7 linked regions of the Macaca fascicularis genome follow. The protein of the gene in region 2 interacts with the protein of the main gene of each other region in a biochemical or structural test. Links are inferred from orthologs where the notes say so. Each region holds a gene or a part of one and is shown on either strand. Other genes may lie near its edges. The genes, in order: FHL2, HIF1A, KPNA6, SP1, USP20, RACK1 and NAA10.

The links.
Region 1: the proteins of HIF1A (region 2) and FHL2 form a complex in vitro, tested with the Homo sapiens proteins (2 studies listed by BioGRID). The link is inferred for Macaca fascicularis from reciprocal best matches to the Homo sapiens genes HIF1A and FHL2.
Region 3: the proteins of HIF1A (region 2) and KPNA6 form a complex in vitro, tested with the Homo sapiens proteins (2 studies listed by BioGRID). The link is inferred for Macaca fascicularis from reciprocal best matches to the Homo sapiens genes HIF1A and KPNA6.
Region 4: the proteins of HIF1A (region 2) and SP1 form a complex in vitro, tested with the Homo sapiens proteins (2 studies listed by BioGRID). The link is inferred for Macaca fascicularis from reciprocal best matches to the Homo sapiens genes HIF1A and SP1.
Region 5: of the proteins of HIF1A (region 2) and USP20, one has a biochemical effect on the other in vitro, tested with the Homo sapiens proteins (2 studies listed by BioGRID and IntAct, with this or other methods). The link is inferred for Macaca fascicularis from reciprocal best matches to the Homo sapiens genes HIF1A and USP20.
Region 6: the proteins of HIF1A (region 2) and RACK1 form a complex in vitro, tested with the Homo sapiens proteins (2 studies listed by BioGRID). The link is inferred for Macaca fascicularis from reciprocal best matches to the Homo sapiens genes HIF1A and RACK1.
Region 7: the proteins of HIF1A (region 2) and NAA10 form a complex in vitro, tested with the Homo sapiens proteins (4 studies listed by BioGRID and IntAct, with this or other methods). The link is inferred for Macaca fascicularis from reciprocal best matches to the Homo sapiens genes HIF1A and NAA10.

The regions. Positions count from the first base shown.
Region 1 is NC_088387.1:9,827,076-9,831,137, forward strand, and holds the start of FHL2 (four and a half LIM domains protein 2), read right to left. Parts: upstream 2,801-4,062; 5' UTR 2,499-2,800; coding exon 2,244-2,498; intron 124-2,243; coding exon 73-123; intron 1-72. UniProt on the Homo sapiens protein: May function as a molecular transmitter linking various signaling pathways to transcriptional regulation. Negatively regulates the transcriptional repressor E4F1 and may function in cell growth.
Region 2 is NC_088381.1:129,533,476-129,537,552, forward strand, and holds the start of HIF1A (hypoxia-inducible factor 1-alpha), read left to right. Parts: upstream 1-1,277; 5' UTR 1,278-1,573; coding exon 1,574-1,608; intron 1,609-4,077.
Region 3 is NC_088375.1:202,872,079-202,875,578, reverse strand, and holds part of KPNA6 (importin subunit alpha-7), read left to right. Parts: coding exon 1-90; intron 91-494; coding exon 495-594; intron 595-1,731; coding exon 1,732-1,826; intron 1,827-2,882; coding exon 2,883-3,014; intron 3,015-3,500. UniProt on the Homo sapiens protein: Functions in nuclear protein import as an adapter protein for nuclear receptor KPNB1. Binds specifically and directly to substrates containing either a simple or bipartite NLS motif.
Region 4 is NC_088385.1:60,181,008-60,185,070, forward strand, and holds the start of SP1 (transcription factor Sp1), read left to right. Parts: upstream 1-1,263; 5' UTR 1,264-1,365; coding exon 1,366-1,372; intron 1,373-1,623; exon of another isoform or gene 1,624-1,742; intron 1,743-1,876; exon of another isoform or gene 1,877-1,907; intron 1,908-2,711; coding exon 2,712-2,869; intron 2,870-3,164; coding exon 3,165-4,063. UniProt on the Homo sapiens protein: Transcription factor that can activate or repress transcription in response to physiological and pathological stimuli.
Region 5 is NC_088389.1:14,041,855-14,045,354, reverse strand, and holds part of USP20 (ubiquitin carboxyl-terminal hydrolase 20), read left to right. Parts: intron 1-418; coding exon 419-532; intron 533-2,546; coding exon 2,547-2,625; intron 2,626-3,500.
Region 6 is NC_088380.1:188,333,219-188,337,162, reverse strand, and holds the end of RACK1 (small ribosomal subunit protein RACK1), read left to right. Parts: intron 1-830; coding exon 831-926; intron 927-1,253; coding exon 1,254-1,364; intron 1,365-2,156; coding exon 2,157-2,297; intron 2,298-2,393; coding exon 2,394-2,435; intron 2,436-2,663; coding exon 2,664-2,774; intron 2,775-3,334; coding exon 3,335-3,400; 3' UTR 3,401-3,444; downstream 3,445-3,944. UniProt on the Homo sapiens protein: Scaffolding protein involved in the recruitment, assembly and/or regulation of a variety of signaling molecules. Interacts with a wide variety of proteins and plays a role in many cellular processes.
Region 7 is NC_088395.1:159,995,627-159,998,263, forward strand, and holds the end of NAA10 (N-alpha-acetyltransferase 10), read right to left. Parts: intron 1,429-2,637; coding exon 1,344-1,428; intron 804-1,343; coding exon 567-803; 3' UTR 501-566; downstream 1-500. UniProt on the Homo sapiens protein: Catalytic subunit of N-terminal acetyltransferase complexes which display alpha (N-terminal) acetyltransferase activity. Acetylates amino termini that are devoid of initiator methionine.

The sequences.
Region 1 (4,062 bases), on a different chromosome or scaffold from region 2:
GAAAGTAATCATCATGGGAGCTAAAACTGAAATCCACAATTTAGGATGACAGAGGAAATTCATTTGACTCACGCCAAAGTCAAAATGCCAGCCTAGTCTCCAGGAAGACACAGTTCTCAGCCCCTAGAGAAAGCACTTGCATTTCGTTTCAGATGGTCATCTTGAGGAAGCGGCTTCAGTATGACGCAACCTGAGATGGACACTTAATAAATGTGGCTTTGATCAAATTCTCATAATAAAACCGCACAGAAGAACCCAACGTCTGACATTTCCATTCACCCAGGCTCAAGGAACTTTTTACCTCGGGGCATCTGAGTCAGAGAGCCGCTTACCAACTTTACCAACTCAGGCCCCGGTGCTGACAAAGGAAGCTGCCTGAGTCACAGAGGCTGAATAACTGGCCCTCAGCACAGGACGGGAGTAAACTGATATCTAGTCTGATTTGTATGTGTGTGTGTGCAATATTCTACTGGGTGTTTTTGACTGCAATTTAAATATCTTTCAGTACTGGAAGTGGCTTAACACGCAATCTTGGGTCAAAGAATGCAGCATAAGGTCTCGTAGAAATATTCAAATGTTAAAAAATAAATAAATATTCAAATGTTCCTCCCGTGGTGTGTTTACGGTTAGAACTCAGGTTCTCAAGTTAAGCTGCCTGGGGTCAGATCTCAGGGCTACCATTTACAGCCTGGGAAACCCTGAGTTAAAGTTACTTTGATCTCTGTTTTCAGTGTCTTTACCTGTAAAAATGAGGCTGTCAAATAGGTACACACTGTCTATGATGTCCAGACTTTTTAACAACCCTGCCAAAGAGACAACATCATTGTCACTGTTTCCCAGTGAAGGAAACCGAGACACCACGACATGAAGTGATTTGGCCCAGGCTGCACAGGTTGAGGGACCCGGATGTAAATTCAGGCAGCCTAGATGCAGTCCCCCGCATCCTCTAGCCTACCGCATCTGCCTGTGGTTATTTGTGAGACCGTGAGCTAAAATGAGACAGAATCTATGTGCCCAGAACAGTTTCTGGTCTTTAGTAAGCCCATCATTAGCCTTCATCGACATATGATGGTGTAAACGCATTTTAAACCATGGCAGGCTAATAAACACCATGAAAACACAATTCTATGTATCAATTGATGATCTTCTAAATTGGAGGGTGATCTAAATCCAGTAACACTTGAAAAAATTTTATATAAATGCACAATGAAATGTTCTTTGAGTTTGATTTTATTAAAATTAAATTGATAGACTAGGAATTCCTGTACTTCTAAGACTTGCTGCAATTTTTTTTTTTTTTTTGTCTAAAACATCGTCAGGATAGTGCAAAACCTCTTTTCTTTAATATATTATTATAAAACATTCGTTAGTAGAGTCAGCACCAAAAATGTGAGATGTATTTGGAGTTGTGTTTTGAAGACAGTTCTCCTGATTCTAAGCCCAAATTGTGATTTATTACCTTCCAAAATATGTGGAAGGGAGTGCGGGCCTTAAGTTCAGTGCTGTCTAAGTTCACTGCTGCTTGGAGGCCAGCTACACATTTCAGCTAACGGGGTTAGCCTACTTCCAATTAAAACCTGACTGGGGATATGAAAGTAAATATGATTGATTCATTTAAAATCTGAAAAACAGTATTTTCTTCCCTCAATTTCTAGTATGCTAAGATATCACACGAGTGCAACTTAAGAAAAACTTAGAATCTTTTTCATTTAAAATACGCCTTTTTTTTTTTTAACCGAATGGTTCAGTTATTAAATGTCTACACGAGTCAAGGAGTGAGGTCACACTGCAAGCTCCACTTATTTCTACCAAAGGGAAATAGCCCGGACACCCCTGCGCAGACCACCGTGCCAGGACAACCGGCTCCGGAGTCGGGCCTTGAAGCAAGGGGACAGCGTCACCTCCCCGCAGCCGCCGGCTGGGACCCGCGGCCAGCCTTTACCCAGGCTAGCCAAGCCCCTGCCCGCATGGCGGTGCCCCACCTGGTGAGGACTTGGGCTGTAATCCCCCTCTGGGGATGGGTCCGTGGGCTCCTCTGAGCTCCAGCGCCCCCAGGGTCTAGCCCCCTCTCATTGCTCCGCTCCCCTCTTCCCGTGGTCTCCCCACTCCCAGCCCCCAGGGATCTGCTCCCCTCTCCCGGGTCTACCCTACAGCTCATTTCCTTTCTCCCGGCTTCTCTCCGCACGGTTCGGCTCCCCTCTCCCAGTGGTCTTCTCCGACCCACAGCTCTCCTCTCCACTCACCGGTCTCCCCAACTCCGGATCTGCTCCCCTCTCCCCGGGTCTCGCACCGGATTCGGCCCCCTCTTCCGAGTCCTGGTGGCTAAGCCCCTCGGCCTCCCTCCGGGGCGCAGGGAGCTGGAGGTACTCACGGCGCCGCAGCGGCCCGGGGACTCCCGGACGGCGCGGGCGGGCGCGGGCGGCTGGTGGCTGCTGCTCCGCTGCCGGCCGAGTGGAGCGCTGCGCGGCTCCCGCCCTCGAGAACCCCCTCCGTGTCATTTGACCATATAAGGAGATGCACGCCTCGGCTCGCTGGCACCGGGCGTGGGGCGCTGGGGGCGGGCGCCCCCTGGCCTAGCGGTCGCCGTGCCCCCGCCCCGGGCTGCGGCGCTCCCGGCCCATGCCCTTTGTTTGCCAGGGCTCTTTCTTCTTGCCCTCCGGGTCTTGGGAGCACCGTGGTTATCCCGAGAGTCTCCTCCGACGTGGGCGTGAGTTTCGGACGGGGCCTGGACGCCAGTGGCAGGGGTCTGCCCACGCCGGGATCTCTGCCTGCTCCCAGGAGCAGGAAGCTGGCGAAGCCCGAGGAGGTGCCGGGGACGGCGGAGGGAGGAGGGGGCCACTTCTCAGGAGGCATGTGCCTGGGATGTATTTGCACGGTGGATTTTTTTCCTTCTTACCCTGCAGATGCTTCTTTACGAAAAGAACCCCACAGATGACCGTAAAGAATCGTTCGTTCCACTAGGGAGGGGACTAAAGGAAGGTCCTATCCCCACCTCTCCCTCTCGGGGCCAGAAGACCAGTTAGACATCCTGGATTCCCCTCCAGGGCGGGAAAAGCAAAGTGAGCTGGGAGCGTGCCTCCCACACTCCAAGCCTGTGCCCTCTGAGTGAGGCTGACGCTGGGTAGGGACAGATGGCACTGTTCAACATTGTAGCAGGGAGAGCACAGGCTGAGCCCATCCCTGGGAGAGGGTGCATCGTGATAGAAACGTTTGCTCCTGAGCAGGTAACTGGTCCACTTGCAGAAACCGCTGGACGATGAGCAGGTGGACAACAAAGGCGTCCTAGGCACTTTGGGGGCAGGTGTATTATTTTTAACATTCAGGGCAGCTCATAGGAATACATCCTCCAGAGAAGGCAGGAAGAACTCCGTGATTGCTTTCTTTTAGTTGATACTCCCCATCTGGTAGCCCTCATGGATCTCCATCATGGAATCACAGAACTTGAGAATCAAGGGTTTCATCACCTTAGCTTCCACTCTGTGAGCACTAGCTCCACCTGGTATCTCATTTGATCCACACTTCCTTAAGGTAAAGATTTTTACCAGATTTATGGTGAGGAAAGTTCAGCTCAGAGAGATTTGCTCAAGGCCACGTGAAAGGTAACTGTGCCAGCTGAGATTTGAACTGGAGTCCGGTAGATGGCAAAACCATGTAAGTATATTACGGGATCAGAAATGCCTCTCATCCCTCAGTCACTCAGGTGACTCCAGAGGACTGAGACTTGCCATAAGCCCAGCCAGAACTAGATGTGCGGAATACAGCCGTCCCCTAACCCCACCCCACGGTGTCCCTGAAACGGGACACTTCCCTGAAGAACCTGAGTTAAGGCCACCCTCCCTGAATTTCCACTAAGTGTCAAGGCAGGCTAGTATTTTGAAATTCAGAGCAAAGTTTGTGTAGAAAAGGCTCCCAGCCCCTGACAGCTACCTAGCTGTGTTGTCGCTATCGTTACATATTAGGAAATGGTCTCCTAGTTCTCAAATGGTGAGCCTTAAGCTGCAGTTTGTAAAAACAAGTCCTAAAATGATGAAACATTAATTCTGCATTTATCTTCTTTCTGAT
Region 2 (4,077 bases):
AGTAGCTGGAACCACGGTGTCCGCTAAGGTCAATGTTGAATCGTATCTTTGTAGGTCTACTGACCAGTTAGAAAGAGGTGCTGTATACATTGGTTGTTGTCTTATCAGAGTTTGATGCTTTTATATAGACCATTGTTTTTACATGCTAATACAATTGAAAGCCACTACAGATATTTATATTTACAACCCAAAGCTAGGTTTTAACAAGAAACTCGTAACGCAAAGGTGAGAAGTAAAATAATTTAGCGCCAAGTAGAGATATATGTGCAATGCTCCTTTATTGGGCTCAAAATATATTCTTTTGTTTTATAAGACTGACAGGCTTGAAGACACTTTTATATCCATTATGCCTCCAAAGACAAAAATGATTACGTTTTATTTAGTAGCTTGCAAAGTTGCCAAAGACCATTTTTTCTACTCTTTCCCCGAAATTGGTTTATATGCTTATTAAAGTCATTTATACCTATTTGTGAATGCTTAACATAGTTTCAGATTTTAAGATTTCCCTGCAACTTTATTTCCCTTGAAGTTTACAGCAAGAGGAGTTAATTTTTATTTTTAATTGCATTTATTCAGTAATTAAACTCCGCCACAGAAAAACTTAGTGGACAAGGTGAGTTCCCCTGTGTCCCATGGCAAAGGTGCAGTGGGTGACATTGACCCATGGTTAGGTAACCTGGCAAGGAAAGACCCCGTTGTAACACCTCTGAGCAACGAGACCAAAGAAGGGCTTGCAGCCACGAGGCGAAGTCCGCTTTTTTGAACAGAGAGCTCAGCAGAGTTGGGCGGCAGTCACGCTCAGCACTGCGGCCGAAGAGAAAGAGAGCGGCAGCATTACATTGCTGCACGAAGAGTAGGAAAATATGATGCAGGTTTGGGACCAGGCAACCGAAATCCCTTCTCAGCAGCGCCTCCCAAAGCCGGGCACCGCCTTCCTTAGGGGAAGGCGCAGAGTCCCCAAACCCGCGCTGAGCCGCGCCCCCAGCTCCTTTCTCTTTCCTCCGCGGCTAAACACAGACTACCACGTGAGCGCCGCAGCACGTCCCAGCTGTGCCTCAGCTGACCGCCTCCTGATTGGCTGAGAGCGACGTGGGCTGGCCGCCTGCGTGGCTCGCCATTGGCTCTCGAGGAACCCGCCTCCACCTCAGGTGAGGCGGGCCTGCGGGAGCGCGCGCCGGCCTGGGCAGGCGGGCGGGCGCGCTCCCGCCCCCTCCCCTCCCTGCGCGCCCAAGCGCGCCTCCGCCCTTGCCCGCCCCCTGACGCTGCCTCAGCTCCTCAGTGCACAGTGCTGCCTCGTCTGAGGGGACAAGAGGATCACCCTCGCCGTCGCTTCGGCCAGTGCGTCGGGCTGGGCCCTGACAAGCCACCTGAGGAGAGGTTCGGAGCCGGGCCCGGACCCCGGCGATTGCCGCCCGCTTCTCCTGCTTCTGGTCTCACGAGGTGTTTCCCGCCTCGCACCCCCACCTCTGGACTTGCCTTGCCTTCTCTCTCCGCGTGTGGAGGGAGCCAGCGCTTAGGCCGGAGCGAGCCTGGGGGCCGCCCGGCGTGAAGGCATCGCGGGGACCGATTCACCATGGAGGGCGCCGGCGGCGCGAACGACAAGAAAAAGTAAGCCCATTCCCTCGGCCGGCCGCCGGCGCCCCCGCCCGCCGTCCCGCCCTGGGCTCCCGGGCCGGCCTCGGCGCTCCTGGTGGTGGGGGGGCAGCCTTTTTGTTTCTGCGGCTTCTCCCCTCCCCTCTCTTTCCCCCAACCTCGCCGGCCGGGCTCCCCCGCTGTCCACGTCGCCATCTTGTCGTGGGGGGTGGGAGACGCCTCGAAAGTGCTTTCAGGGGCCGGGATCTGAGCCCTGCTTGCCCTCCCCGCCGGCCGTGGGGGCCTCGCGCCGCCCACCTACCCGCCTCAGAAACCCAGCCTGCTCTGTGGCCGCATCCAGAGGGGACTTTACCCAGCCCGAAAACCCCGGGAAGAGAAATGAGCTGCAGCTCGGTAGCCGCGGTTTGCACCCGGAGCTTCCGCTCCTTCCCGCCCCCATCCTCTCCGGTTCCATTGAAAACTCGGCCCTGGGGCGGACCCTGCACGCTGGTCCTGGCTTCCTAGTGGGCTTGGGGCCCTGAGTTCCCGACTGAGGGACTCGCGTGGTCGGATGCGATCTTGTCCTGTAGTTGTCCAGCCGTCGCGGGTGTCTTTGCCTTTGTGCATCCTAGGGATTTGCCGCGATGGCCTTAAGATGCGAACTTTTTAGTTTGCACGTGCAGGTTTTGTTTCGTTTTAAGCGCCTTAAAAAACTTGCCTAGACTGAGAGTCAGAGTAATGGGAATTTAGAGAAATAGCAACATTTTAAAGAGAACTTTAGAATTGGATACTTGAGTTCATATCACCTGTCACGAGAACGCAGATATTATAAATGAATACATGCCTCACTCATTCTTCAAATAATGAAAATGTAGGGGCTGGTTAAATGTAGGCAGACAGTTTTAATGATACTGAAAAAATTATATGATGAGTGAACGAAATGCGGCACTAAAATGTTGCAAAAATTTTCGAACTCTTTCGTTTTCCTGAAACTGAAGTATATTAAAGGAAAACCTTCAACATATATCCAAAGTAAGTTAATCACTCGGTTAGAACTTAATGCAAGTTTTATAAATCACCTTGAAGTTTGAGCCTAAGGGGTACATTAGAGATTAAGAATTGTGAGTTGAACCACTGGTATTAAGAGCGGACTCCCCCATCCCCCAACACACACACAATTTTGTCCACTTTGGTATTTTAACTTTTAAGGAAATCATTTAAGGAATTGAAGATTTAGAGTAAGAGTTTTGGTTAGTAGACTGGCTTTGCTCTTAAATCCTTCCACTCTTCTGGCAGAGAGATTAATTTCCCTAATCAGTATCAGCAGAAGATAAACTTGTTTATATTCTTGCTGTTTTGTAGATCCCTTCTCCTGGTCCTTCTTCAATAGAATATTAAATTCTTAGTTTGTGTACACCAGAGAAGGCACTTACAAAATTCAAAAAGTGAGCAAACAGGTTTAAATTCATTCCAAGAGTTACCAGAAATTAATTGCAGTTTATTTTGCGGAGGTGATTACAGTGCTTTTGATGAAATGATAAAGCGGCAGATTACCTCTGTGTAGTGCCAGTTTTCTATCCTTATATATATTGAATCATACTTAATACAATGTATTAAATTATGCACCAATCAATTCCTTTTTATATACAGTATCGAACTCATTTCTTTGCCATTCATCAGTTCAGAATATCAGAAGCAGTTTTGAAATGAATGAATGAATAAATTAGCTGCTGTTCATCAGCCCCAATTCTAAATGAGTTCTTAGATTTTCCTCAGCTCATCTGTTACTTTCAAAATTTTCTCATTTGAAAACTTAGCAACCTTGGGTTGGATGGATTCATTTCTTAATATAGAAGTTCTTGATATAACTGAAAAGTTAAACACTTAATAAGTGGTGGTTACTCAGCATTTTTAGATGCTGTTTATAATAGATGACCTTTTCTAACTAATTTACAGTTTTTTGAAAGATAACTGAGAGTTTGAGGGATGGGGATTTTCTTCATGCAATTTTTTTTTTTTCATTTTAAATGAGCTCCCAATGTCAGAGTTTGGGAAACAAATTTGTCTTTAAAAGAAGGTCTAGGAAACTCAACCTGAAGAATTGGAAGAAATCAGAATAGAAAATGGGTATAGCTATGATATTTTAGATTTAAGATAGGACATTTCATGTTGCCTCCTAGTTATAGGGACTGAACTTACTTAATAGCACATGTGTTTTGATTTTTAGATTTTTAAGGGAATGTCAAGAGAGTAATGATTCTGTTTCAGGCTTCAGGCCAGACTCCTTCAAAGTTTTCCAAAACAAATAATTACTGAATCATTAAAGTAAAATTGCTGAGAATAGATATTCCTTAATTTCCTTTCATTAACTTTGGCCATTAAAAGTCAAGAAGCTCTCTCATTTATTAGCAAACTTTTCTCGTTATATTTCTATTTTGATTGTCCTTTTGTTTGAGGAAGCAGTATATAGTGGTTAAGAGCATAGGATGTGGAGGCAGATACCTC
Region 3 (3,500 bases), on a different chromosome or scaffold from region 2:
TTTAAACGGAGAAATGTGGAGCTGATTAATGAAGAAGCTGCCATGTTCGATAGTCTTCTCATGGACTCTTATGTGAGCTCTACCACTGGGGTAAGGCCCCTGCATGTGCCTCAGGCTGACCTGGAAAGTAACTGCTTCTAAGAACAGAAATTGGGCCATTCACATCATCTACTAGCTTTGTCAGTAACCATGACAAGTTCTTTCCTCTGTGGACCCTTTTGTCAGCTTCAGAAGTCAACAGAGATTCAACTGTGTTAGAAATATCTGAGGAAACATTTAAGGGAAGCCATCAGTTGCCTCAGAATTAGGAATCACTTTTCAAATGTCCCAACTTGAAGCACCTATCGATTAAACAGACCCCTTCTCCTGAGGCTGTCTATTGTGCCATCTTCTTGCCCTCAATTTTTTAGAAAACAGGATGTCAAGCAGAATTATGTGCTCACATCTGACTGTAATGTTGGTTTGCAAAGTTCTAAACTTGTTTTATGTTCTAGGAGAGTGTGATCACAAGAGAGATGGTGGAGATGCTCTTTTCTGATGATTCTGACCTGCAGTTAGCAACCACACAGAAATTCCGGAAACTGCTCTCCAAAGGTACAAAGCCTGGCCCTTCTCAGAGAGGCCCTGTATGATTTAGCCTCTGTTCTCTTCACTAATGTCATCAACTACACGTGCCCTCACTCGTTCTGTTCTAGCCCTACTGACCTTGGTGTTCCTTGTACGAGATAGACACTTTCCTGCCTTCACACTGGATATTTCCTCTGCCTGATGTCTTCTATTCCCAGATATCTGTGTAGCAACTCCCTTACTCCTATGATTAAATCCTAACTTCAACATTTTTATCTTTCTACCTTGCCCTACATATTCTTCTCTTCTCCTCCCATCATATTTATCTTCTAACATAATAAAATGACTCTTCCCACTAGGATGTAAGCTGAGGGCAGAGAGTTTTGTTTTTTTTCTCTCCTGTGTCCTTTGTACCTAGAACTGTGTGGCACACCATAGGTACTTAATAAAAATTTAATGTATGATAGGAAAAATACCTCTTGTTTCAGTTATCAAATAGTCTTCCCAAGAAGAGAATACTGGTCTTTCTCGAAAGGGAAATGTGTAGACCACGGTTGTTCATCCCTTAGGCACTCTTCTGTCCCACACCTTTTTTGCTTACATTTAGTAAGCCAAAGATGAGCATACTTAAATTAGGATTGGCTTTACTCTTTAACATTCCAACTGTATTATACAGTTCAAAGACGAGCAGATATTGTGTTTTTTTTTTGTTTGTTTGTTTGTTTTTGAGACAGAGTCTCGCTCTGTCGCCCAGGCTGGAGTGCTGTGGCCGGATCTCAGCTCACTGCAAGCTCCGCCTCCCGGGTTCACGCCATTCTCCTGCCTCAGCCTCCCGAGTAGCTGGGACTACAGGCGTCCGCCACATCGCCCGGCTAGTTTTTTGTATTTTTTAGTAGAGACGGGGTGTCACCGTGTTAGCCAGGATGGTCTCGATCTCCTGACCTCGTGATCCACCCGTCTCGGCCTCCCAAAGTGCTGGGATTACAGGCTTGAGCCACCGCGCCCGGCCGCAGATATTGTTAAAACCACCTTACCAGAAGGGAGTTTGGGAATGTTTGTAAGGGGGGTGGTCAGAAGTATCTAAGAAGGATTGCAAGCTGACCCCCATGAAGAGATCAGCAAAAGCTTCTCCTACATTTTTATTTTCCCTTCTCCCTTATCCAGAGCCTAGTCCTCCAATAGATGAAGTTATCAACACTCCAAGAGTGGTCGATCGGTTCGTGGAGTTTCTGAAGAGGAATGAGAATTGTACATTACAGGTGAGGCCTGAAGGGAAGGGGTTTGTTTTGTCTTGTTTTGTTTTTTAATTTTGGGGGGATACAGGGTAGGTGTATATATTTATGGGGTACATGAGATGTTTTGACACAGGCCTGTAATTTGAAATAAGCAAATCATGGAGAATGGGGTATCCATTTCCTCAAGCATTTATCCTTTAAGTTACAAACAATCCAATTATGCACTTTAAGTTATTTTAAATTGTGTAGTTATTATTGACTATAGTCACCCTATTGTGTTATCAAATAGTAGGTCTTATTAATTCTTTCTGGGTTTTATTGTACCCATTACTTATCCCCACCCCACCCCCATTCCCCCACTACTGGGAAGGGGTTATTAGGTGAAAGCCCTACTTCCAAGAAATTGTAGTGAGATGTTTCTATTGACGTATCTCTCGGGAAGTATACAAGTAATGTTAAGAAACATTCAGGAGAAACCATCAGTTCCCTCACAGCCAAAATATCTTTCTTAAAACAATTTCAAAGGAAAGACACAAGACTATGATAGACTGATCATTCATTTATAAATCAGAGGGTATAGTCCACTACCTGTGTCACCGAGGCAAGTCGTTTAGCCTCTCTGGGTCTCTTGTTTCAGAGATGGGTGATGGGTCAATCCATTGGAACTTGCCAGAACTCAGCTGAAAGGGACTTTGAGAGACACATTTCATTCTAATCCTCATTTCAGAAATGAAGAAAGTGAAGCTCAGGAAATAAAAAAGTGACCTGGCAAAGGATGCATGGGTTCTGTGGTAGTGCAGGACTAAACCTGGGACCCTAGAAGCCCAATGTCTTATTCCCATGTATATCACATCACTGCATCTTCCCACTCTCTAAAGACGGGAGGGGAAAGGCTTGTATTTTGTGTGTGTGTGTGTGTGTGTGTTTTAAATTCGTAGGCAAGAGGCTTGCTTGTGTTTTGTGAGGTTGTTTTTGTTTTTTTAAATTCATGGGCAGGAGGCTTACTGTTCTGGGCCAGCTGATAGGCATGGCTGCTCAGTCTGAAATGACCTTTCAATCATTGCTTAATCTCACTTTCAGTTTGAAGCTGCCTGGGCTCTAACGAATATTGCCTCTGGAACCTCTCAGCAGACCAAAATTGTCATTGAAGCAGGGGCTGTCCCCATTTTTATAGAGCTGCTTAATTCAGACTTTGAGGATGTTCAGGAACAGGTAATGCTTAGATTTGGTATGATTCTTTATAGTACCTGTGGTATAATAAAAAATGTATTTGGTCTTTGTCCTGGTTCTTGGCACAGTGTTAAAACTCTTGGAATTTCCTGAGCGATAGGAGTATCAAGTACAGATGGTCCCTGGGACTTGCAACTGGTATCTCAAGTCGGGGCAGTCTTGTGGAACTAACCTGTGAGGTCTACATTAACTCTAGGTGTTAGTGTCAGAATTGAATTAAATTGTTGGACACACGGTTGGTGTCAGAGAATGGGTGGTTGATGTGGAAAAAACTCTATACATTTGTTGTTGGAAGTGCCATTGGAAAAAAGACACAACAGTACCCATATCTCAGTACCCAGAGATCATGGAGATAAAGGTACAACTTCCATTTCTCCCACTGAATTCTTGCTAGTTGGATAGAATTGGAGAGTGGTAGTGGGCACTCTTCTCCATTACTACATATAGAGTTGGTCCAAGGCAACTACA
Region 4 (4,063 bases), on a different chromosome or scaffold from region 2:
AATCCAGGTGCCTGCAGTAAAGTTTAACCTTCGTGATTGCAAAAAGCAGGAGCTCAACTATCTTGCTTTATGCATAGGCGGTATTTACTATTAACTCCGAAAAATGGAAGTGACTTATCCGCACTTTAGCCTCAAAGCTTGAAAAGTTAACCAGTCGTAAGTGGTTAGCGCCTTTGTCTGGCGGAACTTAACAAAATGGCGTTTTCTGGAATCTTACGGAGACTCTGCATATTGGTCAGCTCAGTATTAACTTATTTGGTGAGCGCTGTCCCCAAATCCCGTTCCGGCTGCACTCGCAGGGCTTGCAGCGACATTGAGGTATCTGCCCGCCTGTCCGCCCACCCGGGAAACGGGTAAGATTTGAGAGGTACTTTATAGGGGCAGTTAAATGAAGACTCAAACAAATCCTAGTGTTGATGCGGAACTGCGCGCCGAATGCCTTGGCTCTGACACCTGTTGAGCTGCAAGACTCCACTAAAGCGTCCCACCTAATGACTGTAACAACGTCCCCTGAGGTGGGCCAATATGGCGACGGTCTCCTCTTGGCACAGCCCTCTTCCCTCCCTCATGATGGGCGGCTCCGGTAACGCCCATTGGCCAACTAGGAGGCGGTGCCAGGCTTACTTCGTTCCCTCATTGGATTGAATAACTGAGGGAGCCGCCAATTCTCCTCTGCCACTCCAAGTTTCCGCCCTCAGAGTTAATCTGGCGTTTAATTGGCTTTTAATTCACGTCAATATGCGTCCTTTCCTGTCTTTTTTCAGTCTTAATCCAATCATAACTTTCCTGGCTGCCCGCCTGATTTCTGATTGGTTTTAATCAGCTTCAGCCTATCCTATTCCTGTCTACTTCTTACCTCTCCTCCCACTAGGATTTTGCCCAAGCATATCCCGGATTCTAGTTGGCCGTTGTTCTGTCATTCCTATCAAAGCTTTCCCTATCCCAATGTCTCAGGGAGCCCGCCTGCCGGTTGACTGGTTTCCTTCCAAGCCAATAATCCCCAGCTCCCGCCCATCTTCACTTCCTGCATCCTTCATTGGCTTTTAACACTGAGAGGGCTGTCTTTTTGGGCGGACACCAGGCACGCAACTTAGTCTTACACGCCTTAGAGAGCAAGCGAGTCTTGCCATTGGAAAACCTCACCGTCTTTCTTCTGCAAGTCCCACCTTTCCCCCTCCCTCATTGGGCGGGGCAGCAGAGAAGGGGCGGGGCATAGGTTGGGCTGGTGGCGCGCTGCTCCCTCCTCCTCACCCCCCCCTCCCTGTCCGGTCCGGGTTCGCTTGCCTCGTCAGCGTCCGCGTTTTTCCCGGCCCCCCCCAACCCCCCCGGACAGGACCCCCTTGAGCTTGTCCCTCAGCTGCCACCATGAGCGGTAAGGATGAGTCCACTCCAGGCTTAGGGGTGGGAGGCGAGTGAGGGGGCGCGCGCGAGGGCCGACCGGGCGATCCCCGCCGTGAGGGGGGGCGGGCGGGAGGCGGCGGCGGCGGCCTAGGTCCCGCCCGGGGCGGAGGGAAGGGAGGGAGACGGGGCAGTGGCTGGGCCTCCGAGGAGGAGGGGGATGGGCCGCCCGCCCCGGGGGAGGGGGCAGCGTGGCCTCGCCCGCCCCCTGCCCGCCCCGGCCACGGGGGACGGGCCTTACCCCCCACTACTCGGCCGCCCGCCTGAGGCTCCTCCCGCCGGGGGCTGGAGCCGCGGGGGCGGCCCGAGCAGTGAAGGCCCCGCCCGGGCCAACCGCTTGTCTGGTCCGTCCTCTGGTCGCCGCCTGCTCCGGCGCCCTCCTCCCCCCACTTTCCGTAGATTTCCCTTCCCCCCGCCCCACCGTCCCGCCCTTTCCACGCCCCTCACCCCGAAACCGCCCTTTCCCTCAGGGCCCGCCCTCCGCCCCGAAACCTCCTGACTACTAACCAGTACACCCCTTTAGTTCCTTAGTAGTATTCACAAATGTTTTCCTACTAAAACTTTTTATTTCTTTTTCCCTTCTCCTCTTGTTACTTTTAATACTTGGGTTTTTGTTTATCTCTCTCTTTTTTTTTGAGAGGGAGTTTCGCTCTTGTCGCCCAGGCTGGAGTGCAATGGTGCGATCTCGGCTCACTGCTACCTCCCGGATTCAAGCGATTCTCCTGCCTCAGCCTCCGGGAGTAGCTGGGATTACAGGCATGCGCCACCACACACGGCTAATTTTGTATTTTTAGTGGGGACGGGGTTTCTCCTTGTTGGTCAGGCTGGTCTCAAACTCCTGACCCCAGGTGATCCTCCTGCCTCAGCGTCTCAAAGTACTGGGATTACAGGCATGACCACCGCGCCTGGCCTCTCCATCTCTTTTAACCTTAATTTTAGCAAGCTTTCCATCCGCCCACATATTGTTTTTTGCCTTACTTGTCCTTTTTTCCCTTAGGATACTTTTTCTTATTTTGAAACTCTTTCAGCATGACTACCATCCTTCACATTTCCTATCCCCAAAGCACTTTTTGAATGTTTTCTTAGTTAATTTTGTGTAAGGGAGAATTGAGGCCCACTTTTGGCACCATTGAGCCTAGTTCATGTCCTGCATGCCCTGCAGCTCCCCTCTGCCCTCCAATCCATTTTCTTTATACTGGCGCCTTTCGCCTTCCTGTTAGTCATTGCTATTTCATCATAGCCTCCTTTTATCCTTCCTACTTCATCTCTTTTCTTCCCTCAAGTTTAAGTTGTTTGTTTTTTAATTGTTTTAGACCAAGATCACTCCATGGATGAAATGACAGCTGTGGTGAAGATTGAAAAAGGAGTTGGTGGCAATAATGGGGGCAGTGGTAATGGTGGTGGTGCCTTTTCACAGGCTCGAAGTAGCAGCACAGGCAGTAGCAGCAGCAGTGGAGGAGGAGGAGGGCAGGTAAGTGATAATAATAGAGTGGGGAAGATGTTGAGAGGATGTAAATATTCTTAGATAATTGCCTTACTCTTCATAGAAAGCTTTTTAGGGAGCTTATCAAAACCATTTTATAGATAAGAAGTAAGAGTATGGAGATCCCCAAAGACAGGAGTTTCAGCAATACAGATAGGTCAGCTTTTTGTTTCTGTTTTTTGCTCCTTGTCTGCACTACGTTGCTGTTTATTTGTTGTATACTGCCCCCTAGGCTGGCAGCTGGGTGTCACTAACTCCTTTCCTCTCCCTTATTTTTGGCCAGGAGTCCCAGCCATCCCCTTTGGCTCTGCTGGCAGCAACTTGCAGCAGAATTGAGTCACCCAATGAGAACAGCAACAACTCCCAGGGCCCGAGTCAGTCAGGGGGAACAGGTGAGCTTGACCTCACAGCCACACAACTTTCACAGGGTGCCAATGGCTGGCAGATCATCTCTTCCTCCTCTGGGGCTACCCCTACCTCAAAGGAACAGAGTGGCAGCAGTACCAATGGCAGCAATGGCAGTGAGTCTTCCAAGAATCGCACAGTCTCTGGTGGGCAGTATGTTGTGGCTGCCACTCCCAACTTACAGAACCAGCAAGTTCTGACAGGACTACCTGGAGTGATGCCTAATATTCAGTATCAAGTAATCCCACAGTTCCAGACCGTTGATGGGCAACAGCTGCAGTTTGCTGCCACTGGGGCCCAAGTGCAGCAGGATGGTTCTGGTCAAATACAGATCATACCAGGTGCAAACCAACAGATTATCACAAATCGAGGAAGTGGAGGCAACATCATTGCTGCTATGCCAAATCTACTCCAGCAGGCTGTCCCCCTCCAAGGCCTGGCTAATAATGTACTCTCAGGACAGACTCAGTATGTGACCAATGTACCAGTGGCCCTGAATGGGAACATCACCTTGCTACCTGTCAACAGCGTTTCTGCAGCTACCTTGACTCCCAGCTCTCAGGCAGTCACCATCAGCAGCTCTGGGTCCCAGGAGAGTGGCTCACAGCCTGTCACCTCAGGGACTACCATCAGTTCTGCCAGCTTGGTGTCATCACAAGCCAGTTCCAGCTCCTTTTTTACCAATGCCAATAGCTACTCAACTACTACTACCACCAGCAACATGGGAATTATGAACTTTACTACCAGTGGATCATCAGGGACCAACTCTCAAGGCCA
Region 5 (3,500 bases), on a different chromosome or scaffold from region 2:
ACTTGGGAGGCTAAGGCAGGAGAAGCACTTGAACCCAGAAGGCAGAGGCTGCGGTGAACCAAGACTGCACCACTGCACTCCAGCCTGGGCAACAGAGTGAGACTCTGTTTCAAAATAATAAAAATAATAATAAAAGAAGATAAGATGAGATAAAATAAAATAAAATAAAAATACGCTGTCTCTAGATATGGTCACACTCTGAGGTACTGGGGATTAGGGCTTCACAGATGAATTTTGGAGGATACAATTTTCTCATAACTGGTAGGAGCCTTCTAGTCACCTTTAGGCGTTTCTGGGTCCAGGGTCACTGTGCTCCCTGCGCGAGCACTCAGGGCTCCCCGCTACGCAGCCCTTTCTAAACCGTGCCACCTGCCTCGTTTGCTTTCCTGACCTGGCTCTCTCTCTCCCTCGCACCCAGCCCACCGCTGACTCAGTTCTTCCTGGAGTGTGGAGGCCTGGTGCGCACAGACAAAAAGCCAGCCCTGTGCAAGAGCTACCAGAAGCTGGTCTCTGAGGTCTGGCACAAGAAACGGTGAGCAGCTGCATCCCTAGCCTCGGGCGGTGTGTGGGGACTGGGGTTTCCTGTCAGCACCCATGATTGAGCTCTTCCTATGGATTCAGCCCCCAGCGAGGACTTGCCTCATTTTGTCCCAGGTAATGCTTGTAGCAAGCCTGCAGGGTGGAAATTGCATCCAATCCTGTTTTACAAATAGGGAAACTGAGATGCAGAGAACTTTAAGTATCTTGCTCAAGGTCATAGAACCTGCAAAAGGTGAGCTAGAATTTGACCTGCTGTTGACCCTAGCCAGCAGCCACTGGGTAGATGTCTTTGCCAAGAGACATGGTGACCCGGCCTCAGCCACAGCTGAGGAGCGTGTGGAGGAGGTATGGGGCAGGGGGGCACAGACTGGATGGAGCTTCTGGCACAGTATGGAATGAATTTAAAGACCAGAGTCTGTGATTAGATCTATTTCTCCAGGAAAAGTCAAAGTTGGGAATAATTTAAAATGAGCACATAGAAATATGTATTATGTGTAGAAGCAGATGAAAAACCAGCGTAGGGCCAGGCGCAGTGGCTCACGCCTGTAATCCCAGCACTTTGAGAGGCTGAGGCAGGCAGATCACGAGGTCAAGAGATTGAGACCATCCTGGCCAACATGGTGAAACCCCGTGTCTAATAAAAATGCAAAAATTAGCTGGGCATGGTGGTACGCACCTGTAGTCCCAGCTACTCGGGAGGCTGAGGCAGGAGAATCACTTGAACCCAGGAGGCGGAGGTGGCAGTGAGCCAAGATTGCGCCACTGCAGTCCAACCTGGCGACAGAGCCAGACTCCGTCTCAAACAAAAACAAAAACAACAAAAAAAAAACCCAGCATGGGAGAAATATGTATTACGTGTAGAACCAGATTAAAAACCAGCGTGGGGCCAGACGCAGTCACTGACACCTGTAAATCCAGCACTTTGAGAGGCCAAGGCAAGAGAATCATTTGAGCCTGGGAGTTTGAGACCAGCCTGGACAACACAGCAAGACCCCGTCTCTACAAAAACTACAAAATTAGCCAAGCGTGGTGTTTGCACTTGTGGTCCCAGCTACTCAGGAGGCTGAGGTGGGAGGATTGCTTGAGCCCAGGAGGTTGAGGCAGGCTGCAGTGAGCCTTGATCATGCCATTGCACTTCAGCCTGGGCGACAGAGTGAGACCGTGTCTCAAAAAAAAAAAAAAAAAAAAGTCCGGGTGCAGTGGCTCACTCCTGTAATCCCAGCACTTTGGGAGGCCGAGGCGGGTGGATCACAAGGTCAGGAGTTCGAGACCAGCCTGGCCAATATGGTGAAACCCCATCTCTACTAAAAATACAAAAATTAGCTGGGCATGGTGGCGCACACCTGTAGTCCCCGCACTTTGGGAGGCTGAGACAGGAGAATCACTTGAACCCGGGAGGCGGAGGTTGCAGCGAACCAAGATCGCGCCACTGCACTCCAGCCTGGGAAACAGAGCAAGACTGTCTCAAAACAAAACAAAAAACAAAAACACAAGAAAACCAGCGTGGTACAGTATAATTCCGCTGTGTAAGAAGCCAAGTTTAAGTGTATATCTGTATGTATTTTTGTATATGCATCTGTAGTTTCACAGAAAAACCCAGAAATCTAATGGTAAGTATCTGGTGCCATTAGTGGTGGTGTTTTTCTCTTGTACTTTTCTGAAATTTTAGATTTGTCAATAATGAACATGTCTTTTGAAATGAGAAAACCACAGTAAGTGTTTCAGAACAAAAACAAATCATGTTTAGGCGAGTTTGTTGTGTGCCAGCAGGAAATGATGCCATTTTATTTGAGCTCTTTGCTTAATTGAGGCAGCTATGACTTGACATTTTCTTCTTGTCTATAGAGATGTGTGAGCCTCTTGGGGGTCCTGGCTGAGTAGGTCCCTCCCCATATGTCAGGAAATGCCTCACTCTGATCCAGCCTGACTGGCTGGCTGCCTGCTTCTCTCGGGAATGAGCAGCTCAAGGCAGACTACCTGGACTAATGGGTTTGGGCTTCCTACAGGCCAAGCTACGTGGTCCCCACCAGTCTGTCTCATGGGATCAAGTTGGTCAACCCAATGTTCCGAGGCTATGCCCAGCAGGTAAGCCATCTGAGCTGCCCAGGGGACACTCAAGGCCATGACCCACCAGGCCTGACTTTGACGCCAAAACCAGAGTGGAAAATCGCAATGGCAGCTGAGCACTGGTTGGCAGGTCTCAGGGACCAGGCTCTCATTCCTAAGCCCTTCACACATGTGAGGACAGTGGTGCCTCCCAGCAACCTGCTGACATTTAACCCCACTTCACAGATGGGCAGACTGAGGTTCAGGGGGCTGAGCCACTTGCACAGGCCACACAGCTAGTAAATGGTGGAGGGGAATTCTTTCTTTTAGCGAGGTGGGTACAGGGTCTCACTCTGTCATCCAGGCTAGAGTGCAGTGGGACAGTCATGGCTTACCGCAGCCGTGACCTCCCGGGCTCAAGCAGTCGTCCCACCTCAGGCTCCCAAAGTGCTGTGATGATAGGCATGAGCCACTGCACCCAGCAGAGGGGAGATTTGAACCTGGGCAACCTTGCTTCGGGGCCTGTGCTGTGCCCCTCTGCATTGCACTCAAAATGGCACAGGGTTTCACTTCCCCAAACCACAGGCGAAATTTCACTTTTACTAAAATAAAAATTTTGATTAAGAATTTTTATTTTTTAATCTAGAGAACCCCTTTGAAACCAACCACATTTTTCTATTTGATAAAATAATGAGACCAAGACAGAGTGCAGCCATGTGTACGCCTCAGCCCTGGGCTGATGGCTCCTGCCCTCCAGCCTCCTGCCCCAGATGGCCCCCGGCCTGGGCTTTCATGCCAGGCCTGCAGGCAGAGCTGGACCAGGCTGGGTCGCCTCTTGTGCTGCCTGAATGAGCGCCATGGATGGAGTGGCAGTCATGTAAGGACACCTTCCACCCTCCTTTACCTGCTGCCTG
Region 6 (3,944 bases), on a different chromosome or scaffold from region 2:
CTCTGGTAGGCCAAGGTGGGAGGATTGCTTGAGGACAGGAGAGCAGCCTGGCCAACACAGTGAGACCCCATCCATAAAAATTTTTATTTATTTTGAGATGGAGTCTCACCCTGTTGCCCAGGCTGGAGTGCAGTGTGCGATCTTGGCCCACTGCAACCTCCGCCTCCCAGGTTCATGCCATTCTCTTGCCTCAGCTTCTCGAGTAGCTGGGACTACAGCATGCCCAGCTAATTTTTTTGTATTTTTAGTGGAGACGAGGATTCACCGTGTTAGCCAGGTGGTCTTGATCTCCTCACCTCGTGATCCGCCCACCTTGGCCTCCTAAAGTGCTGGGGTTACAGGCGTGAGCCACCGCACCTGGCCCTTTTTTGAGATAAAGTTTCACTCGTTCATTGCGCTGGCTGGAGTGCAATGGCACAATCGTGGCTCACTGTAAACTTCGCTTCCTGCGTTTAAGCAATGCTCCTGCCTGAGCCTTCCATGTAGCTGGGATTACAGGCACCCACCACCACACCCGGTGAATTTTTGTGTTTTTGGTAGAGACGGTTTCACCATGTTGGCCAAGCTGATGTCAAACTCCTGACCTCAGGTGATCCACTCACCTCGCCCTCCCCAAGTGCTGGGATTACAGGCGTGATCCACTGCGTCCAACCCCTGTCTCTAAATTTAAAAAGAAATTCTTATCTGGAATCTAAAGGGATTCTGTTGAGCTTAAAGGTTTGGGTTCTGGGTTTTTGAAAGGTGCTGCCAGCCATCATCTGGCTGGGGGGGGGGTCTAGCATTTCATGGGATAGGACTGTTTCCCCTTATTTCCTTTTCATCCTCTGTAGGATGAGAGCCACTCAGAGTGGGTGTCTTGTGTCCGCTTCTCGCCTAACAGCAGCAACCCTATCATCGTCTCCTGCGGCTGGGACAAGCTGGTCAAGGTGAGCTTCAAGCCAAGGCAGGGGCTTTACCAGTCAGGGTGTGCTGTGCTCCCAGGTGGTCATACGCTCCAACTCCTGTGGAAAGCTTTACAGATTCTCTCAGTTGACTCTTTCTCTTGTCACATGGTTTGAAGTAGCTAATTGATGTCCCTTGTAAGTGAGCACACTGCATTGGATGTGTGTTACAATCTAAGGTTAAGTGGCCAGGACATGTTACTGAATGATAAATGGCTACTGTAGCCAGGAATGCCAAGCCCTTTTTTGTTGGACCTGACCCTGGCTGATCCAGAGCCAGGATATTCACCTGTCAACTTCACATCTATGCAGGTATGGAACCTGGCTAACTGCAAGCTGAAGACCAACCACATTGGCCACACGGGCTATCTGAACACGGTGACTGTCTCTCCAGACGGATCCCTCTGTGCTTCTGGAGGCAAGGTATTTGGGGACCAGGAGTCTCCTGCTCAGTGGAAGACCAGCATCATGGAAGGAGCACTTAGCCAGCGTCTCTAACATAAAACGGCAAACATTAGTCAGGATGGTTTCAGGAGGATAATGAGATAATGGCAATCTGAGAATGTTTCCAAAGATTACTTTCAGCAAATGACAGTTAAGGCATACTGTCTGGAAGAAAACGATTATTTTCTATAAGGTTGGGTTTATTTTGAGACGGAGTCTCACTCAGCCGCCAAAGCTGGAGTGCAGTGGCATGATCTCAGCTCACCGCAACCATCTCCCTGGTTCAAGCAATTGTCCTGTCTCAGCCTCCCTAGTAGCTGGGATTATAGGCACCCACCATCATGCCTAGGTAATTTTTGTATTTTAGTAGAGACAGAGTTTCACCATGTTGGCCAGGCAGGGCTTGAACTCCTGACCTCAGGTGATCCACTGGCCTCAGCTTCCCAAAGTGCTGGGATTACAGGCGTAAGCCACAGTGCCCGGCCTAAAGTTGGTTCCTCGAAGCAATTGATGAGATTGAGATCCTGGTTTTCAGAAACGATTAGAGTGATTTATGTAAGTTGGGAGGGGTTTTTTGATAGGGTTGGTAAGGTCTTAACCTTAAAGGAAAGGCATACAGAGATCAATGTTGGTACTTGAGTCATTAGTTTTCAAAGAAGCCTGAGGTAATGGAGGAAAGGTAAGAATTGATTCTGACAGAATCTTGAGATGGGCAGGATTAACATCTGGAAGAAGTCACTGTGTCCTGATTTACCTTACCTGTCTGTCCAGGATGGCCAGGCCATGTTATGGGATCTCAACGAAGGCAAACACCTTTACACGCTAGATGGTGGGGACATCATCAACGCCCTGTGCTTCAGCCCTAACCGCTACTGGCTGTGTGCTGCCACAGGCCCCAGCATCAAGATCTGGGTGAGTGTGGGTTACAGTGGACTGGGTACCTGGCTGCCCTCTGAGCCTTGACAATGTTTTGGTTACAATATATGCCATCTGACTCCCACCTGGTAGCTAAGCCTATTCAACCTCCACATAATTGACATTTTGGTCTGGGTAACTCTGTTGTGATGTGCTGTCCTGTACATTTTAGGATGTGTAGCAGCATTTCCAGCTTCTAGATGTCGGTAGCAAACCATCCTTCCACTAGTGGCAACTAAAAATGCATCTAGGCGTTGATACATGTATCCTAGGAAGCAGAATCATCCCTTTATAACTTGAGAATCTTGAGGAGGGGACTCTGTCATTGCTAAGTCTTAAGGTTGCTTTTGCCCTGTTCCCCAGGATTTGGAGGGAAAGATCATTGTAGATGAACTGAAGCAAGAAGTTATCAGTACCAGCAGCAAGGCAGAACCACCGCAGTGTACCTCCCTGGCCTGGTCTGCCGATGGCCAGGTAAGTGGTCTGTGTCCTCTCAGGTGACTCGGCTTCCAATTATTTTTCTCCCTCATTCTGTTAGCACATTTAGTCTGTCAGACACAAGAGCAGTGTCTTTGGCATAAAGTGGAATGACAAGCCAGGTTGATGAGAGGATGCCCTAGTTTGCCATGCCAGTGAATGTGTTTCAGCATCAGAGGGAAGACTGATGTGGAGCCCAGTAGCTATCAGCCTTCAGTTAATACCTTAATTCATTTGACCTGTTTTCAAATGTCTAGATCCTTATCACCAGCTGTTTCTTCCTCAAGGAATACATAACCACAACTTAAAATCTGGCTGTTAAAATGGGAGGGGTTTCTTATAGTCTGCCCAGTATGGTGGCACATGCCTACTGGAGGCTGAGGTGGGAGGATCTCTTGAACTGCAGGGTCTCAAGGCTGCAGTGAGCCAGGATCATGCCCCTGCGCTCCAGCCTAGACAGTGGAGCAAGACCATCTCAAAGAAAGCCACTTGTGCTGAATCTAGTGACTGCAGAGTTTACGCCAGCCTGACCTATCCCTGTCATTTCTCCCCTGCAGACTCTGTTTGCTGGCTACACAGACAACCTGGTACGAGTATGGCAGGTGACCATCGGCACGCGCTAGAAGTTTATGGCAGAGCTTTACAAATTAAAGAAGAAAAAACTGGCTTTTCTGGCTTTTAGAAGGTTTTTTTTTCTTACATGCATAAAAGCTCCATCCTATCTACAATGCTTACACATTAAGTTTGCACTAGCAAACTGGATGCAAGCTGTGGACTAAGTAAACAAGGCCCTGAGGGGGAAGGAGAGCTGTCAGTCTAAGTTCTCAGGATTGGGGGAGCATCAAGTGGATGTTTGTTAGAAGTCACATAGCAGTTTCCCTGAACTTAAACCCCATCAGCGTCCTACATACCAGGTGCAGATCATCAGGACCTACCTTCAACCTGGGGAACCTTCTTGAGGGAAAGGACTGATTATTTCAAAGTGGTTGCAGTCAATTTTTAGGAAAAGCAGACTCCGCAGGTCCAACCGCTGGCACATAAGAACGGAACAAAGATGAATCCTCATTCCTCTGAAGGTTTGAACATAATTCAGAAAATTTAAACTTCATGTTAGCAGTCTACATGGTCTTTGAGGCAAGTCAAGGGTATTTAATTCTGCAAAGCAGT
Region 7 (2,637 bases), on a different chromosome or scaffold from region 2:
GGCAGGGAAGGGAGGACTCAAGGACCGTTGACAGGGCGTCTGGCTGGGTCATTATACTCAGGACAGCTGTAGATAAGCCCAATGAGCAGTCAGATGTCCACATCTGGAGCCCACGGCTATGCCGCAGAGCTGCTGTAGCCCAAAGCAGGTGTGATTAGGGAGAGAAAAGGTCTGAAGGTGAAGATGGGAGGAGAACTGAAGGATACCAAGAGTGGGAGCCCTGCTGTTGAGCTTTGAGCCTAAGCGGCCCAGGCTTATGCCACAAAACACATTCAGCGTGGCCAAGCAGACCTCCAAGGCAGGGTCTCTCCCTAAGCCCAGGGCCTCCTTCCCGGGGCCACAGCTGCTGAAGGCCATGAGACTGGGGAGTCCCACCTCCAAAGCTCTTCCCTTCTATTCGGACTGGCAGGATGCTCTGGGTCAAAAGGCTGAGGCTCACCTCCCCACCAGAGGACCTGGAGAAACACACCCTCTAAATGTGCACACGCACACACACGAAGTTCCCCAGTGCCACGGAGCGAATTTATTGTGAAAGCTCGTGGGGTGAGGAAGGGATGGGGCAGGCTCTAAGAGGCCGAGTCGGAAGCCTCTGAGCTGTCCTTGACATCTGTGCTCTCTGTGGTCTCGCTGACCTCGCTGAGGTCCTTGCTGTCCCCACCACTATCCTCGGCAGCCAGGCCCTTCTCCTCGCGACAGGCCTCTCCTGAGCTCGGAGGTGAATTGCCTTTGCTCTCCACCTTGTTCTCGATGGCACCCAGCACCACATGCCTGCCCTTCTCCTTCAGCTCCAGGTGCCGCCTCAGCTGCCACCAGGAACCCAGGGAGAAGCAGGAGGTAAAGAGATGGGGCCTAAGTTTCCAGACAAAGGGAGCCTGGCCCTGTCGCTGGCTGAGGAGAGGGGCATAGTGAGGCAGCAGGGCTAGGCAGGACACGTGGGACTGAGTGGGGACACCTGGCTGGAGCCCCAGTCCACTGCTACCTGGGCTCACTGACTACCACGGAGGCCCCCACGACACAGCGTTGCCCCTTGACCAGCCCTGCCACCCAAGGAGCCTGGGGCAGAACCCTGACTCAGAACTACCTCTGAGCAGGCAGGCCACCCACTGGTCCCCAGGCCTCCCCACTTCCCTTCTAAAAGCCTCCTCCCTCTGCCTCTCCCATCACCCTCCAGGCTGCTAGGCAGATGGCCTCCTCTAAAGCCCAACCTAGGAAACTGAGGTCGTGACTCCTGGCAACATAGCCACAAGGGCTGGCATTCAAAGTTGGTCGCACCTCCAGCCACTGTCTCGGGGCTCCCCAATGCCACCCCCGCTTGCCTGGCTTGGCTTCATGCAGGCTCTTACCTCGTCGGCCATCTGAGTGAGGTCTCGCTTCATGGCATAGGCGTCCTCCCCATCTGCATAGTATTTGGGCTCCACTTCACTGATCCTGGGGGCAGAGGGTAGAGAGCAAGGAGGAAGACCCATACCTGGGGGACACCCTCCTCCACTCCTGGTATCATGGCTACTGGAGCAAGATGCCGTGTTTTCTCCCTGAAGGGCTCCTTTCTGAGACAGCAAGTCCGGTGTGACCTGCCCTCTGTTCTCTCCAGCAAAGGCTCCAGGAAACAGCGGCCCGCCCCACCCCTGTCCTGCCCCCGTTCTGTGTCCTTAGCCTGGCTACTAAGGATTCATTTCTGTGGTTTCTTGTGAGCTGAATTCCTGAATTCAGCCTTCCCCTTCCCTCCCTGCCCTGCGTCCTGTCCCTTACTGAGCTGCCTCTCAACAGCCATCAGAACCCAGGAAAGACAGTGAGCTCTGTTTAGGGGAGTCATCCCTAGGCAGCACGGGCCCTGCCTGAGCAGCTCAGGGGCCATGCCTGCACTGGGGAGGCATGTGTGCAGACTCGGGTGGCCATGTCCCTGGAAGGGGAGCTGGACTCAATGGCCTAGGCTGGCCCTGCCAGGCCTAAGACATGAGGATTGTTGACTTAGCTATAAAGCAGTTCCCACCAGACATCCTCATCTGGGTCACAGATCCCTCTTGCCAGCATCCAGCCCAGAGGCCACTGCCCTTCCCAACAGTCCCTCCTCTTCACCCCTACCAAACAGGGGCTGACTGCAGTTAGTGTCCCTCCACGGGCAGCCCACCCCAGCTTCACTTGCAAGCACTTTTTTCCACTGTCTACTGGGCATGCTGACTGCCAGGTCCTCTCTCCTGTGCTAGGCACACGGGGCCTCCCGGTCCTCAGGCAGACCTGCCCCATCCACTAGGCTGCCTGGCCGCCGGTCCTTCCTTCCTGAACGTGCATTCTCCTTGATTCTGCTCTCTCTTGGATTCTTCCAGGTGCTTGGCCATGCTATGATCTGCTCACGCCAGGGACCCACACCTCTTTATTCCCAAACATTACTAAACAGCCCGTGTGCCCTTCACCAGCCTCTGCCAGCATGGGCCAGAGCTCCTCCATCACAACACACACGGAGCACGTTTCAGCAGGCAGGTGCTGTCTCCATGCCGGCTTTTCAACCATCAGCCACCGAGTGAATGTGGAGGCATCCTGGCAGCACTGGGGTCCACAGCGTCCTCCCCACATCCGGCCCACCCCTAGCCTGGAAGGCAACTCAGCCGGTCTCAGGTGCCCTGGTGGGCCAGACCTGGG